Danio rerio: one gene and its partners. The protein of the gene in region 2 interacts with the protein of the main gene of each other region in a biochemical or structural test. Links are inferred from orthologs where the notes say so. Each region holds a gene or a part of one and is shown on either strand. Other genes may lie near its edges. The genes, in order: rgs4, gnaq and ric8a.

Region 1 (5,660 bases), on a different chromosome or scaffold from region 2:
TTACATCAGAATATCTTCAATGCTCTTACTTCAGTACACAATACATTTCAATTCAGCTGAATCCAGCACAGTGCTGAGAACGAATGAGGTTATGACAGATCCAGTCTTCATCATGGATTGTTGCTGATTAGGTCCATTGACTGAGTGGACTTTAACCTGGGTGTTATGAAATCAAGATGCGAAGCTTCTCAGTACCAAATTACCTCATCAAGATTTTGCGCTGAATAAATCGACATCTGATTTAACAGTATAGAACTACTAGAATGGCCATTACAGTCATTCTGTTCATATTTGTCAAATCATATTTAAATTTGAAGCGTCAACTGTAATTTTAGAACACTGAAATAGTGAAAGCATGTTTTTTTTAAGTCTAAATGCCAACAAATATGTATATAATATTTATAAAATAAAAAAAATGAAAATATTTGGAGATAATATTATACATCAGGAAACAAATTAAAATTCATTTCAAATATGTATTAGTTCACATAAGAACCACAGAATCAGAGTGCAGCTTAGGTATACATTTGAAGTAACAATAGTCTGTTATTATCTTTGATATAATAGCTATAAAAACGTCACCAATATGCATTTTTAGATTTGTGTATGAAAGAAATTGCATAAACTTAAATAATAAAAAGTCGTGGTGCATAGTATTATTTGTTTATTAATTTTCTTTTGGCTTAGTCCCTTTATTCATCAGGGGTCGCCGAAACAGAATGAACCAACAACCTATTCAGCATTTGTATTGGGCAATGGATGCCCTTCCAGCCGCAACCCAGTACTGGGAAACATCCATACACACTCACACACATACACTACAGCCAACTCACCTATAGCGCATGTCTTTGAACTCTGGGGGAAACCGTAGCACCCAGATGAAACCCATGTCAATACGGGGTGAGCATGCAAACTCCACACAGAAATGCCAACTGACCCAGTCGGGACTCGATCCAGTGACCTGCTTGCTGTGAGGTGACAGTGCTCACCACTGAGCCACAGTGTCGCCCCATAGTAGTATGGTATGGTATGGTATATTTGTAAATAAAATATGTTATTGAATACCATGTAGTGTGCATGTAATAATATAATATGTCACAATTTTTGTTTGTATATTTTAGATTTTTATGTTTGTATTCATAAAGTTTAAAAATACTCACCACACACACAAATATATTATGTAAATATTAACTTTTGTTTCAAATGTAAATTGTTTTTCAACAACAAGATGGATCTGTCCATTTCTAGGTTACAGAGGTGTGGGTTCTTCTATTGGTTTGCAGTGATCAGATGTGCTGTGTGCTGTGATTTAGTGCATCATCTTTCAGGCTCCTGACAGTCGCTTTCCTTCTGTTTCATTGTATTGCAGTCTTTTCAGGGAATGGCTTGTCTGTGCTATTAGCCTGAGTGAATTGAAATTGCAGCAAATGCATCAGATAGTGAATGATATTGGGACCAGAATGACCTCTTTTCTACTTTGTTATATGTGTCTGTTATTATAGCTGGTGTCTTCCTGAAAATTCTATGCGAGATACAAATAATAAGCTTGAGTGTGTGTTTGTGCTTGTGTGTGTGTGTGTGTGCACGTGTGTGTGTATGTGTGCGTGTGTGTGTATGTGTGTGTGAGTGTGTGTGTGTGTGTGTGTGTGTGTGTGTGTGTTTGTGTGTGTGTGTGTTTTCACGAATCTAAACATGCATGTGCTTATTTACATAATGCATAGAATATACAGAGTAATTTTTTGACTATACATTTGTATAATGCCAAGTTCAAAGCTGCTCCAAATTGAGAAGGCCCATATTTTAGATTTGTTTTTTAATACAAACAATTTTTACTTGTATAAAATGCTTTTTCACATTTACTGTAAGTGTTTTTTTCTTTGCTGCCTATATTAATTACAATAAATATTGTAATTATATATATAGTTAAAGTCAGAATTATTAGCCCCCTTTGAATTTCTTTGCTTTTTTTAAATATTTCCCAAATGACGTTCAACAGAGCAAGGACATTTTCACAGTATGTCTGATAATATTTTTTTCTTCTGGAGAAAGTCTTATTTGTTTTATTTCGGCTAGAATAAAAGCAGTTTCAACTGTACTTACTTCAACTGTATATATATATATAAAACCCAAAATCAGAAATAGTTGGGACAGTATGGAAAATGCAAGTAAAAAGAAAGTAGTGATTTTTAAATTGGCAACGCAAGGGAGCAGTAGGTAGTGCTGTCGCCTCACAGCAAGCAGGTTGCTGGGTCACAGGTTCAAGCCTCTGCTGGGTCAGTTGGCATTTCTGTGTGGAGTTTGCATGTTCTCCCTGCATTCGCGTGGGTTTCCTTCGGGTGCTCCAGTTTCCCCCACAGTCCAAAGACATGCAGTACAGGTGAATTGGGTAGGCTAAATTGTCCGTAGTGTGTGTGTGTGTGTGTGTGTGTGTGTGTGTGTGTGTGTGTATGTGTGTGTGTGTGTGTTTCCCAGAGACGGGTTGCGGCTGGAAGGGCATCCGCTGCGTAAAAATGTGCTGGATAAGTTGGCGGTTCATTCCGCTGTGGCGACCCCGGATTAATAAAGGGACTAAAGGCTGATTTATACTTCTGCGTCAAACGCCGGCGTATGCTACAGCGCTGATGCATAGCCCTTCGCCGTGGCCGTCGGCGTCACTAACGTGCACCTCTCAAAAAATGTAACTACCATAGACTGTAAAATATATGGACGTAGTATCCGTGACGTCACCCATAGGTTTCTGAAGAGCGCAAAAGAAGCCACAAGTAGGCGCGGCCAACCGTCGCCATTTTGGTCACGCGTCATCACACCCACGGCGGGATACCAAACAAGGGCAAAGAGGCGGAGAGTGAGCGGAGCTACAGACACCTGCTCGTTTGTATTCTGACCACTTGTGCTTGGTTGTACACTATATCAATAAAGTGTTTAGACTTTTAAAAACACGGCTGTAATACATTGAGCCACTAAACATTGTTCTTATGACGTTTTTCAACAGGAGGAAAACGCGAATTACTTCCAAACACTTCAGATATAGTCTGTGTTAGTAAATGTAAGACTATTGATGAAATCCAGCATAACACTGTATGACAACGCTTCAGATGACTGTTCTAGAGCCTACAGCTAATCAATCTGACAGATTCTGGAGTGCATTACAGCTCTAAATATAAATATAAACGATAAATGATCTTAAATAAAACAAATACATGTACAGAGATGGTATATAAGTATATAACTTTACTCACATGGGAAACGGAGGCCACGTGAATGGTTTGTGAGCACAATTAAGTGCCCTCAGCATGCCATGCCATCTAATAATTGTGGGAAACAAGTCCAAAAGGCAGTTGACTGTGTAAAGCCACATAAAACAACACAGAAATACGATAAATATGCCGAGTTCAGTGGCTAATCTGCAGGATTCAGCTGAGGTGACGTGACGGCGACCAGCGAGACCTAGCTGTCAATCAAGTGGCCACGCCCTTAATTATGCAAACTTAATATAACTTAATATAAAAGAAACGGATGAGTTATAAAAAAAATTCACCCCCTAACAGTTGTCATGAAGGGTGATATTACCTGTATTAACCAAAATCATTTTTTGTACCAGGCTGTAAACACCTTTTTTTCTGCTGTAAAGTTGGCCATTCTAACAGTGGGCTCAATTGAAATTTGCTCTGTTTTGGAGCCAGGAGCGGCCAGGACTAGCGGAATTTCGCATGAATTGCAGTTTTAGTTACTTCCGTATTGGTACAGGGAGAGCGGGAGGTTGCCGCTTGGTAACTACACGTCGCAACGACGCGTAGCGCAAGCTCTGTGATTGGTCGGCTTGGTAGCGATGAAGAGTCTGGGCGGGACCGAGCACCGCGTGAATGGCGCGAGCGATTGTTTACAAGTGTGGAGTCCCGAGAAGGAGCTCTGGATGGAAAGTTTTGTTTTGTGTTTACCTCATAGTTAAAGTTGTTGCACGTCCGCCGGTTCCTGCCTCAAAATGAACGAGTTTGAGTCACTTGTACAACCAGGAAGTGTTCAGGAAAAGCAAAACAGAAGCGAAGAAACTCGACACAGAGGAACATTTACACCTCACTGCCAACTAGCGTTCCGGAAGTGTTAATGCAGACCAACAGAGACAGCGCGCAGAAGTATAAATGCACAGCTGCGCACGTTGCCTGCGCCGTGAGTTACGCCGGTCACTTGAAGCAGAAGTATAAACCAGGCTTAAGCCGACAAGAAAATGAATGAATGAATGGATTTCTAGATTTACTTTGACCTGTATTTCAATACAGACACTATGCAAATGCAAAACTACTAAATATTTCATGTTTTGTCTGGTCAACTTAATTTCATTAGTAAATATGCATTATTTCCTGCCATTCAGACATGCAACACACAAGTTTGGACAGGAGCAATTTGACTGCATCCAAGAAAGGTCTAGTCCTTTTGCCTACAAATACGTGAGAAAATTATTGGAATGTTTAAAAATAATGTTTCTTAAAGAAAGAGAGGAAGACTTTTTGATGTTTCACCTTCATCAGTACATAGCATAATTAAAAGATTCAAGGAATCTAGAGACATTTTAGTGCGCAAAGAACAAGGCCACAGGCCTAAGATGAACAAGCATGATCCCACAGGCAGCACTGCATCAAGAATCCTCATTCATATAAGTGATATCCCCACATGGGCTCAGAACTACTTTGGCAAATTTTTGTCATAAGTACCACAGAACATCCACAAAGGCCTCTTAAAATTGTACTGTGTCAAAAGGAATGTTAACAGGGTCCAGAAGCACTGTTAATACATAGCGATTTTGGAGCACAATATGCTGCCTTCTTTTTCAGGGACGCCTATGCATTTTTCAATGCAAAACTACATTCTGCACACATTACCAAGTCTAGGTTTCAGAAGAAGAGGATACAGGTACTTGACTGGCCTGTCTTCAATACATAATGTGTGGTGCATTTTGAAGCGCAAATTACAAACTGGCAAATGCTTTACTGTTCCATTTTTTTATGTCACAAAAATCAAAATTGGAATATGTGTTTATTTTTGAAAATTTGTAAAAAAAAGATGCTCTTTCATTGTTTGCGGTGAAATACAAGTCAAAGTAACATTTGACTTTAACAAAGCAAAAAATTTAAAGAGCTTTATCCAATATTCTGATTTTTATGCTATAAATCTCTGCAGATTAGTGTATGTATACTTAATAAAACAATGATTGAATAAAATAAATTAAATAGTTTTTATATTTGAACATCACATTTTACAATCTTTTTATATATTCAAAACATGCAATTTTTAATCTATCAACTGAGAAAATATAATAATAGTGGTTAATTTTTCTGCTGTTATCTTATTGGTCATTTTACTCTCCAACCATGCAAAAAAAAAAAACAATTTGATCCAGTTATATAAGAGAAGTGCTGCAGCTACTGTACGTGTCTCATGTTGCATATAGAAGAAAAGTATTTGGCAGTGGTTTACTGACCCGCAGCCGGGGTCTGTAGGGGATCTGCTGTCCTAAAGTTTTGGCTGTGGGAGAGAGACTAGAAAACTCTGGACACAAGGAGGAGTGTTGGAACATGTTCACTTACATCGTGAAACCCAAGGATGACGTCACTGCCACTATCATGTTGGAAATGTCAAAAACACATCCGTTGCCTCGGGTCATC
Region 2 (4,409 bases):
GTTGTTTGTGGTGTGACCATTTGCAACACGTGTGCTGTTAAATTCATGAAGATCGTTTCTTTATTTGCTGGTGTTTTTTGTAGTTACATGGACAATAGTTTTAAACAAAAGAGTCCCAAGGGCTAGTGTATAGTAATTGAAAAAAGAAATATTGTAAAGTGTAAAATACCTTTTGAATTGTTAAAATTATTTCTTATTAATTGCTTGCTTACTACTCAAATACGAAGTAGTAGAGGGAGCACATAACAATTATTTATTTATTTTTTTTACTTTCCAAACCAATACTAAATATTACTCTTAAAATACACTGTGCGTTAAGCAACATGCATTTGTAACACCAGAAAAATTATACTTAAAAAAAAAATGCATTTGGTTTGTGGTGTGCAATGCTGCCTCGGTGTTCATGTGATCACATGACCAATTGAGAACAAAATATGTTTTCATTCTGAACCTTAAATGAGAATCTGTGCTCATTTTAGCAATGTTTGAAAGAAAGCACTTTATTTTTTTCTCTGAAATTGTCAAAAGCAGCGAACATTCAGTTAGTGTTGATTTCTGGACTAAAGCTGTATAAAAATAACCACTGAAATGGGCTTGTTATGTTATTTTCCCCTACAGAATCGAATGGAGGAAAGCAAAGCATTGTTTAGGACGATAATAACATACCCCTGGTTTCAGAATTCATCTGTTATTCTTTTTCTGAACAAGAAAGACCTTTTGGAAGAGAAAATAATGTTTTCACATCTTGTAGATTACTTTCCCGAATATGATGGTAAGTTTAAAAACACAGAGTTCCATCAGATTTTAGGACAAATTAAAAACTATGAAAATTGTGATACACTGATTACAGCTATTAGACTGATTTGCTAATGCTTAGCAAATGAATTGATTTACAGTGTTACATTTTATTAGTACTCCTGACTTGCATGACTTAAGCCATTTTCCCATTGGTAATATATATATAAGAGAAATGCTTTAAAATCCCATCCTCAAAATGAATCCTGTTTACCCAGATCAACAAAATACCCAACTATAATTTGCTGTTTAGACTAGTATTTGATGATTTCACTTTTTAAAATTCTAAAATAATCATTTTTAGACATTAAAAACAGCTTGTTATGCTACTTAATGTTGCAAACTTATATTTTCTTATTATATTATTCTACTTGGTCTGTATAGTCATGCAAAAGCTTGTTTGTAGAGCAAGTAGTTTGACCGCTGTCCGCTGTTTATTGTCCCTAGTCATTTCTCCCATAGGCGACTGAATCGGAAGTTCTAAAACAATCACAAAAATGAGCACACTTCCGCATTCAAGAATGAGGTCAATAATGGTATCAATTTCAAACGTTTTTGTTGTTATTGAACAGACAACATGCTTAAACTATTTTATGTTTTTAGCTCAAAACTGTCTTATAAATATACACTAATATATTCATCAGGGTATCCACGGGGTCTTAAAAAGTCTTAAAATGTTGAAAATCTCAAAAACTAAATTTAAGGCCCTTAAAAAATTTTACATTCACTGAAATTTTGTGTTGTAGGTCCTAAATCTTTTTCAACAGGTATTAATTTTTCTTTGATCATGTACGGCTACCCAATCTGACCATTAACACCTATACAATCAACCACATTTTATTTAAAAATATAATTTATATACTGCTGAGAATGCTGACCTATATATGTTATTATTAAACTATTATTATTGTGGACTGAAGTAATAGGCAGCTTTGTTTTGTTCTATTCTTGGTAAGGGTTATAGGGTTTGTGAATGGATATATTTGAAAATTTATTTTAAAATATTCAAACAAAGGCATCACAGTGGCGCAGTGGATGGCACAATCGCCTCACAGCAAGAAGGTCACTGGTTCAAGCCTCGGCTGGGTCAATTGGCATTTCAGTGTGGAGTTTGCATGTTCTCCCCATGTTAGCGTGGGTTTGCTCCAGTTTCCCCCACAAGTCCAAAGACATGTGCTATAGGTGAATTGGGTAAGCTAAATTGATCGTAGTGTATGAGTTTGTGTGTGAATGTTTCCCAGTGATGGGTTGCGGCTGGAAGGGCATTCGCTAAGTAAAACATATGCTGGATAATTTGGCAGTTCATTCAGCTGTGGCAACCTCATATTACAATAAAAGTAACAAGAAAATAAAATGAATGAATCAATATTCAAACAAAATTATTATTACTGTGTTATTAAATGTATTAAATTTCAAAAAATATTTTGGTAGGGCAACTGAAAATCTTTTCTGACAGGCATATTAAAAAAATCCTTATAATTTAGCTCTATGTAAGTTTAAAATTTTGTTCATAATAATCTTAAAATGTCTTAAATTTAGCTTGATGAAATCTGCAGAAACCCTGTTTATGTTTTGGAATAAGGGGTTATAGGCCCACAAGGAATCTGCATGCGTTAACTAGGCAGATTAGGGTAATTAAATTTTGTATGTCAATGGTTTGTCCTGCAGATAATCAAAGAAAAAAAAAAGCCTTAAGGGGCTAAACATTTATGACCTTATATGTTTATTAAAAAATTAAAAACTGCTTTTATTCTAGCTAAATAAAACAATCAAGACTTTCTCCTGAAGAAAAACTAGTATCAGACATATTGTGAAAATGTCCTTGCTCTGTTAAAAATCATTTGGCAAATATTTTAAAAATAAAATAAAAGGGAGGCTAATAATTCTGACTTCAACTGTATTTGATTGTAAAAAGTTATTTAGGTTTTGAGCACCAACTCTTAATCATTCTGCATTTGTTTTTTCAAAATAATGTGCAGAAAGAGCTAAAATGATCAGCAGATTCTATCTGGTCTGGTTATGAGAATTACATTTCAGTTTTAGGTTTGACCGCAGTTAACCAAAATGTATTTTCCTCTTTAAGGACCTCAGAGAGATGCTCAAACTGCACGGGAGTTCATCCTGAAGATGTTTGTCGACCTGAATCCAGACTCAGAGAAAATCATTTATTCTCATTTCACATGTGCCACTGACACGGAAAACATTCGATTTGTGTTTGCTGCTGTCAAAGACACAATCTTGCAGCTCACGCTTAAAGAATACAATCTGGTGTGAAAGAGGCTAGTTCTGGTTTTTGTCATCATCTTGCCTGGTTAAAGGCACTCATCGGTTAATGCAGAGAGCATTTAAAATCTGCTTTTATTGTTCGAGCTGTCTTTCCTCCCGGATTCTGCTCAATGAAACTGGACACACAAGTTATTTATATTTAAGAACTGTAACACAATCTGCTCTTGACTGCTGTTATTTATTTGCACCTCAGAGCTTCTCTTTGGGGTTCAGTTTAAATGTTGTTATATCACTTTAATGAAAACAAATATTGCGCATATTATCAAAGATTAAATAAGTAAGCTATAATTAGTTTTTTCTTTTATTTTAAGCGTTAAACTTCTTGCTATAAATGTTACGTAGAATCCTCTATTTTGGGTATATTAAAGATTCTGTGTGGTAAGATCATTAAAGAGCAATGAAAAGTACTTCATTGACTTTTAAAAGGAAAATATCATGTTACAGTTTCAGAGTAAGCTTAGTAGAGTAGGGTCTTTTTTACATTTCGCCAAACATGCTTTGGGGAATAATACTCATCAAGATTAAATAAGCATATACATTAAAAGTGCCAAAGTTCTTCTAATGTGGCAGTTTGTTTTATTGCCAAACTATAATAGCTATAAATGTGGTATAATTGCACCACATGCTAAAAACTACCATTGCCAATTACTTCTATACCATACTGCTGTTCATGATCTGATTCATTAAAAATTATCAATGTTCAACATCAAGCCTTAACGATGTGCCAATAGAGCCGATTCCTGTGCAGTCATTTTTATTTTAAACTACAAATGTGCCCTTTAGATATTTTCTGCAACAGTTGCTTTTTTTATATATAAATTACCCAACACATGTCTCAGTGAGCAAATGATGCTCTTTTTTTGTACTGACTTGACCCTGTGATTAGTATAGTGAATTCAAGCTTTGGTCAGTATGTGCAGTTGTTTTTAAAGATAGTAGGATTTGTAAAAAGAGTATCATGTGGTTTGATGTATGTCAAAGAAATGAATGTTTTGTGTTCAGTCAAGAGTAAAGGACCAAACCGATGTTGCCTCTTCTTGCTGCTTTTTTTGGCTTAAATTAAAGCTCTTAGTAATGAAGTTTATAAAGCAGGTAAAATAGGTATTGAACATTCAATGTTTTTTCCTGGTAAGCACAGCTCAAATCAGAAAAGGTTGGGATGTTATGGAAAATCAAGTAAACAACAACAACAAAAAAAAGTAATTTGCAAATTTACTTTGATTTGACTTGCAGACTATATGAACACAAAATATTTCATGTTTTGTCTAGTCAACTTCTTTTTCTTTGTTTTTTTTTTTTGTTTGTTTTTGTTTCTTTACAAAAAAAAG
Region 3 (5,097 bases), on a different chromosome or scaffold from region 2:
CTATGGGAATTTATTGCATTGATCCTTTTTTATTAATTCAAATGTAAATATAATTTTGGCCATTGTAAGTTATGGGCCACAAAACAAACAAACAATATGTATGTGTATATATATATATATATAGATATACAATTTTATTATATAAATATTTATTTATTTATTATTATTATTATTTTTTTTTTTTTTTCAATTTTACATATTGGTCAAATAGTTTTTTTATATATCCAAAGATTTTGTAACACCATTTAATGGATTATTATATATAATTATTATTATTGTTGTTGTATAACACTATACTTGTTTAAATGTTTATTAGATAGCTGAAATTCATTGTTCATAAGTAATTATTTACAACTAATATGTATTTAATAGCATTTTTAGAAAAGTAGTTTAATGGATTTTTGTCTATGACATTTTCTTCAGGCTTCAGTTTGAAAGCTGCGTAGGCAAGTTTCCATTCATTTGTACTAAAATTGTACAATATTTTGTAAATGTTAATTAAAAAGTACTAGTGCCATTTTCATTAACCAAGTGTTATGCGACTAAAACCCGTTTCTATCAATAAGTTTTTCTTAATCACCAAAATTTTATTGTATTAATCTTTTTTATGATTATCTATTTTTTATAAAATAAAATAATAGTTTTTTAAGTTTTATTTAATATTTACAATGCTTATCCAATTATTAAAACAAAAGCAAGTCTCGTATAATATATTTACTAAAAGACAGAAAATATTACTTTACAAACCGTATTGTAAATAAATCAAATGAACATTTTCATATTAGTCAATAATATTTCTAAAATTTATTTAAAAACTAAATAAATATAAATTTAAACACATTTACACAATAAAATAAATACTCAATAATGTGCTAATAATAAACAGACTCAATGATGGGTTAACAATAAATAGACTCAATGATGGGTTAATAATAAATAGACTCAATGATGGGCTTATAATAAATAGACTTAATGATGGGCTAATAATAAATAGACTCAATAGACTCAATGATGGGCTTAAAATAAACAGACTCAATGATGGGTTAACAATAAATAGACTCAATGATGGGCTAATAATAAATAGACTCAATTGTGGGCTAATAATAAATAGACTCAATAATGGGCTAATAATAAATAGACTCAATTGTGGAATAATGATAAATAGACTTAATAATGGGCTTATAATAAATAGACTCAATGGTGGGATAATGATAAATAGACCCCGTAATGGGCTAATAATAAATAGACTCAATAATGGGATAATAAAAAATAGACTCATTAATGGGTTAATAATAAATACACTCAATAATCAGCTAATAATAAAGAGATTCAATAATGGGCTAATAATAAATAGACTCAATAATGGGCTAATAATAAATACACTCAATAATGGGCTAATAATAAATAGACTCAATGATGGGCTAATAATAAATAGACTTAATGATGGGCTAATAATAAATAGACTCAGTGATGGGCTAATAATAAATAGACTTAATAATGGGCTAATTATAAATAGACTCAATAATGATCTAATAATAAATAGACTCAATGATGGGCTAATAATAAAAAGACTTAATGATGGGCTAATAATAAATAGACTCAATGATGGGCTAATAATAAATAGACTCAATGATGGGCTAATAATAAATAGACTCAATGATGGGCTAATAATAAATAGACTCAATGATGGACTAATAGTAAATAGACTTAATGATGGGCTAATAATAAATAGACTCAATGATGGGCTAATAATAAATAGACTCAATGATGGGCTAATAATAAATAGATCAATGATGGGCTAATAATAAATACACTCAATAATAGGCTAATAATAAATAGACTCAATAATGTGCTTATAATAAATAGATTCAATAATGGGCTAATAATAAATAGACTCAATAATGGGCTAATAATAAATAGACTCAATAATGGGCTTATAATAAATAGATTCAATAATGGGCTAATAATAAATAGACTTAATAATGGGCTAATAATAAATAGACTCAGTAATGGGCTAATAATAAATAGACTTAATGATGGGCAAATAATAAATAGACTCAATAATGGGCTAATAATAAATAGACTCAATGATGGGCAAATAATAAATAGACTCAATGATGGGCTAAAAATCTGCGGATTTCTGTGCGCACAGATTTCATGTGGGCCTAGTCATCCTTAAGTAGTAAAAGTTTGCTGAACATATATGCCGCTAAGCAATTTTCATAAGGTGCATTGAAACAAAAGCAGTGGAGAAATGCAGGCATGTAAACCAATAGTAGATGGTTTCCACCATATTACTCTCTTGTTTTCTCATTTCTCAGCGTCTGGGTGAGTTAGTGTTAAGCTTTTTGGAGAGAGACCTCCAGCCATCCTGCCAGCTGGCCTGCCTAGAGACCATCCGCATCCTGTCCCGGGACAAGAAGAGCCTGTCTCCGTTCGCCACCCGCCATGCTATGCAGATCCTGATTCGACATGCAGGGCTTGGGCAGGGAGAGGGCGTCACCCCAGAGATCCCAGATTTAGAGGTAAGGGTATGCTATAATGTCGATATTTGATCATGAATGATTAAAATGCCGCTATGACTTTATCAGAAAATATTGTTATATTGCGCAACAGTGCATTTTCAATCAGTTGCATATGACTTTCACCATAATTAAATCATTCATTGCTTCTGATTTACTTTTATTTGTCATAAAAGATTGGTACAATTTTTTGTTAAAGTCTGTGTGAAATCAAAATGGGCATGTTTATTTTGCTAGCGCACATTGTTATTCTTTAAGTGAATAATTGATCCGTGCAGGTTAATCAACTAAAAAATGTATTGGTGATCTTCAATCAAAGTATGAGCATTATCTTTTGCATTTGGAGTGGCGGTCCATCTGTGATGATGTAAGTTTGATGTCTTCAGGCACAATATTCTTTTTTTTATTTAATTTTTTTATTGATTGAACAGGGGAGTACAGAATTATACATAAATCAGTATGCAATGGAATTAACAACAAAAAATTATCATGTACGTTTAGTATTTTTTCCAGCAGCTTGGATGTCTTAATAGCTTTGGTATTACTCTGTATATAAGTAAGGGAATCATACTTTTTTTTTTTTTTTTCCCTCTCTTTTGCCGGTGAGATAAATTTCGCAAGCACAGACTCTAGTTTGACTGCGGCTTAAGTAAGTCTCAAGTCTTAACCAGGGATGGAGCTAGGGGGGTAGCCATGGCAACCATCAACATAATCATGGCCACTCCATTGGCCACCCCACTCGTAATAACCCAAACACCACCCCCACCCGCTTATCTTTCATTCGTGAGATGAATTTGGCAAGCACAAACTAGTGTGGCTGCGGCTTAAGTAAGTCTCGAGTCTTAACCAGGGATGGAGCTAGGGGGGTAGCCATGGCCACCATCAACATAATCATGGCCACTCCATTGGCCACCCCACTCGTAATAACCCAAACACCACCCCCACCTGCTTATCTTTTATTTGTGAGATGAATTTCGCAAACACAAACTCTAGTGTGGCCGCGGCTTAAGTGAGTCTCAAGTCTTAACCAGGGACAGAACTAGGGGGGTAGCTACAGACACAATCAACATAATCATGGCCATCACATTGCCCACCCCACTTATAATAACCCAAACACCACCCCCACTCGCTTATCTTTCATTCGTGAGATGAATTTGGCAAGCACAAACTAGTGTGGCTGCGGCTTAAGTAAGTCTCGAGTCTTAACCAGGGATGGAGCTAGAGGGGTAGCCATGACCATCATCAACATAATCATAACCACCACATTGGCCACCCCACTCATAATAACCCAAACACCACCCCCACCCGCTTATCTTTTATTCGTGAGATGAATTTCGCAAGCACAGACTCTAGTGTTACTGCGGCTTAAGTAAGTCTCAAGTCTTAACCAGGGATGAAGCTAGGGGTGTAGCCATGATCATCATCAACATAATCATGGCCACCCCAATCGTATTAACCCAAACACCACCCCGCCTGCTTATCTTTTATTTGTGAGATGAATTTCGCAAACACAAACTCTAGTGTGGCTGCGGCTTAAGTAAGTCCTAAGTCTCAACCAGGGACGGAGCTAGGGGGGTAGCCCTAACCACCATCAACATAATCATGGCCACCCCACTTGTAATAACCCAAACACCACCCCCTACCGCTTATCTTTTGCCGGTGAGATAAATTTCGCAAGCACAGACTCTAGTGTGACTGTGGCTTATCTAAGTCTCAAGTCTTAACCGGGGACGGCGCTAGGGGGGTAGCCATGGCCACGATCAACATAATCATGGCCACCCCATTGGCCCCCAATAACCTAGCCCCACCCCCGCTTATCTTTCGTCCGCGAGAAGAACTCAAACACTGAGTTCACCTCAATTGGATCGTAGCTCGGATTCAACTGTGCGATTCCTTCGTGAGGGGTGAGTAAAATTTCAAGCAATCCCATTACCGATCAGGAGGGTTTAATTGCCTCTCAGTTCTCCCTGTACACTGCAAAAACCAACAAAGGCTCATTCTGAAAACGTAGCCCTATATACATTTCTGGAGAACGTGAGTTATGTTGCCAGAAGTATGTAGGTGGACTTTAGATGCAGAGAGGAGAGGACTGATTGGTTGGATTTAAGGAAGGAGGGTGGGTTAGTTGATTGGTCAGTCAGTCAGTCAGTCGACAGCGGCCTCTGGTGGATTTACGAGAGAAGAGCAGGCGCAAATGACACTCAGGAGTGAAATTTGAGATCTCAAAAAGCGTACAAAGCAGCCTCTCATGAATTTGCAAAAACAAAAACCGCCAAAAATTTACCTCCTATTACCCCCTATTTGACGGTCCACAGAAATGTATATAGCGGTACGATAAACAACGAAGCTGAAATTCGGCTCAATTAAAAGAAGAGTCACGTGATTAAAAGCAAACCCAACACCTGCAAAAATAAATATAAAAAAATACATTTGTAATATGATATTTTTTCTTCCAAATGGCCCACTTAGGTGATCGTGGAGGCTCTGAAGTGCTTATGCAACATCGTGTTTAACAGCGAAGCAGCGCAGGAGGCCGCAGCTGACCTGCAGTTGATGGTGGGTTTAGCAGAGCGGC

The links.
Region 1: the proteins of gnaq (region 2) and rgs4 form a complex in vitro, tested with the Homo sapiens proteins (3 studies listed by BioGRID). The link is inferred for Danio rerio from reciprocal best matches to the Homo sapiens genes GNAQ and RGS4.
Region 3: the proteins of gnaq (region 2) and ric8a form a complex in vitro, tested with the Homo sapiens proteins (2 studies listed by BioGRID). The link is inferred for Danio rerio from reciprocal best matches to the Homo sapiens genes GNAQ and RIC8A.

What each region holds. Positions count from the first base shown.
Region 1 is NC_133181.1:37,874,959-37,880,618, reverse strand, and holds the start of rgs4 (regulator of G-protein signaling 4), read right to left. Parts: upstream 3,746-5,660; 5' UTR 3,359-3,745; coding exon 3,240-3,358; intron 1-3,239. UniProt on the Homo sapiens protein: Inhibits signal transduction by increasing the GTPase activity of G protein alpha subunits thereby driving them into their inactive GDP-bound form. Activity on G(z)-alpha is inhibited by phosphorylation of the G-protein.
Region 2 is NC_133180.1:60,900,624-60,905,032, reverse strand, and holds the end of gnaq (guanine nucleotide-binding protein G(q) subunit alpha), read left to right. Parts: intron 1-618; coding exon 619-772; intron 773-2,878; coding exon 2,879-3,069; 3' UTR 3,070-3,072; downstream 3,073-4,409.
Region 3 is NC_133200.1:11,285,509-11,290,605, forward strand, and holds part of ric8a (chaperone Ric-8A), read left to right. Parts: intron 1-2,321; coding exon 2,322-2,525; intron 2,526-4,991; coding exon 4,992-5,097.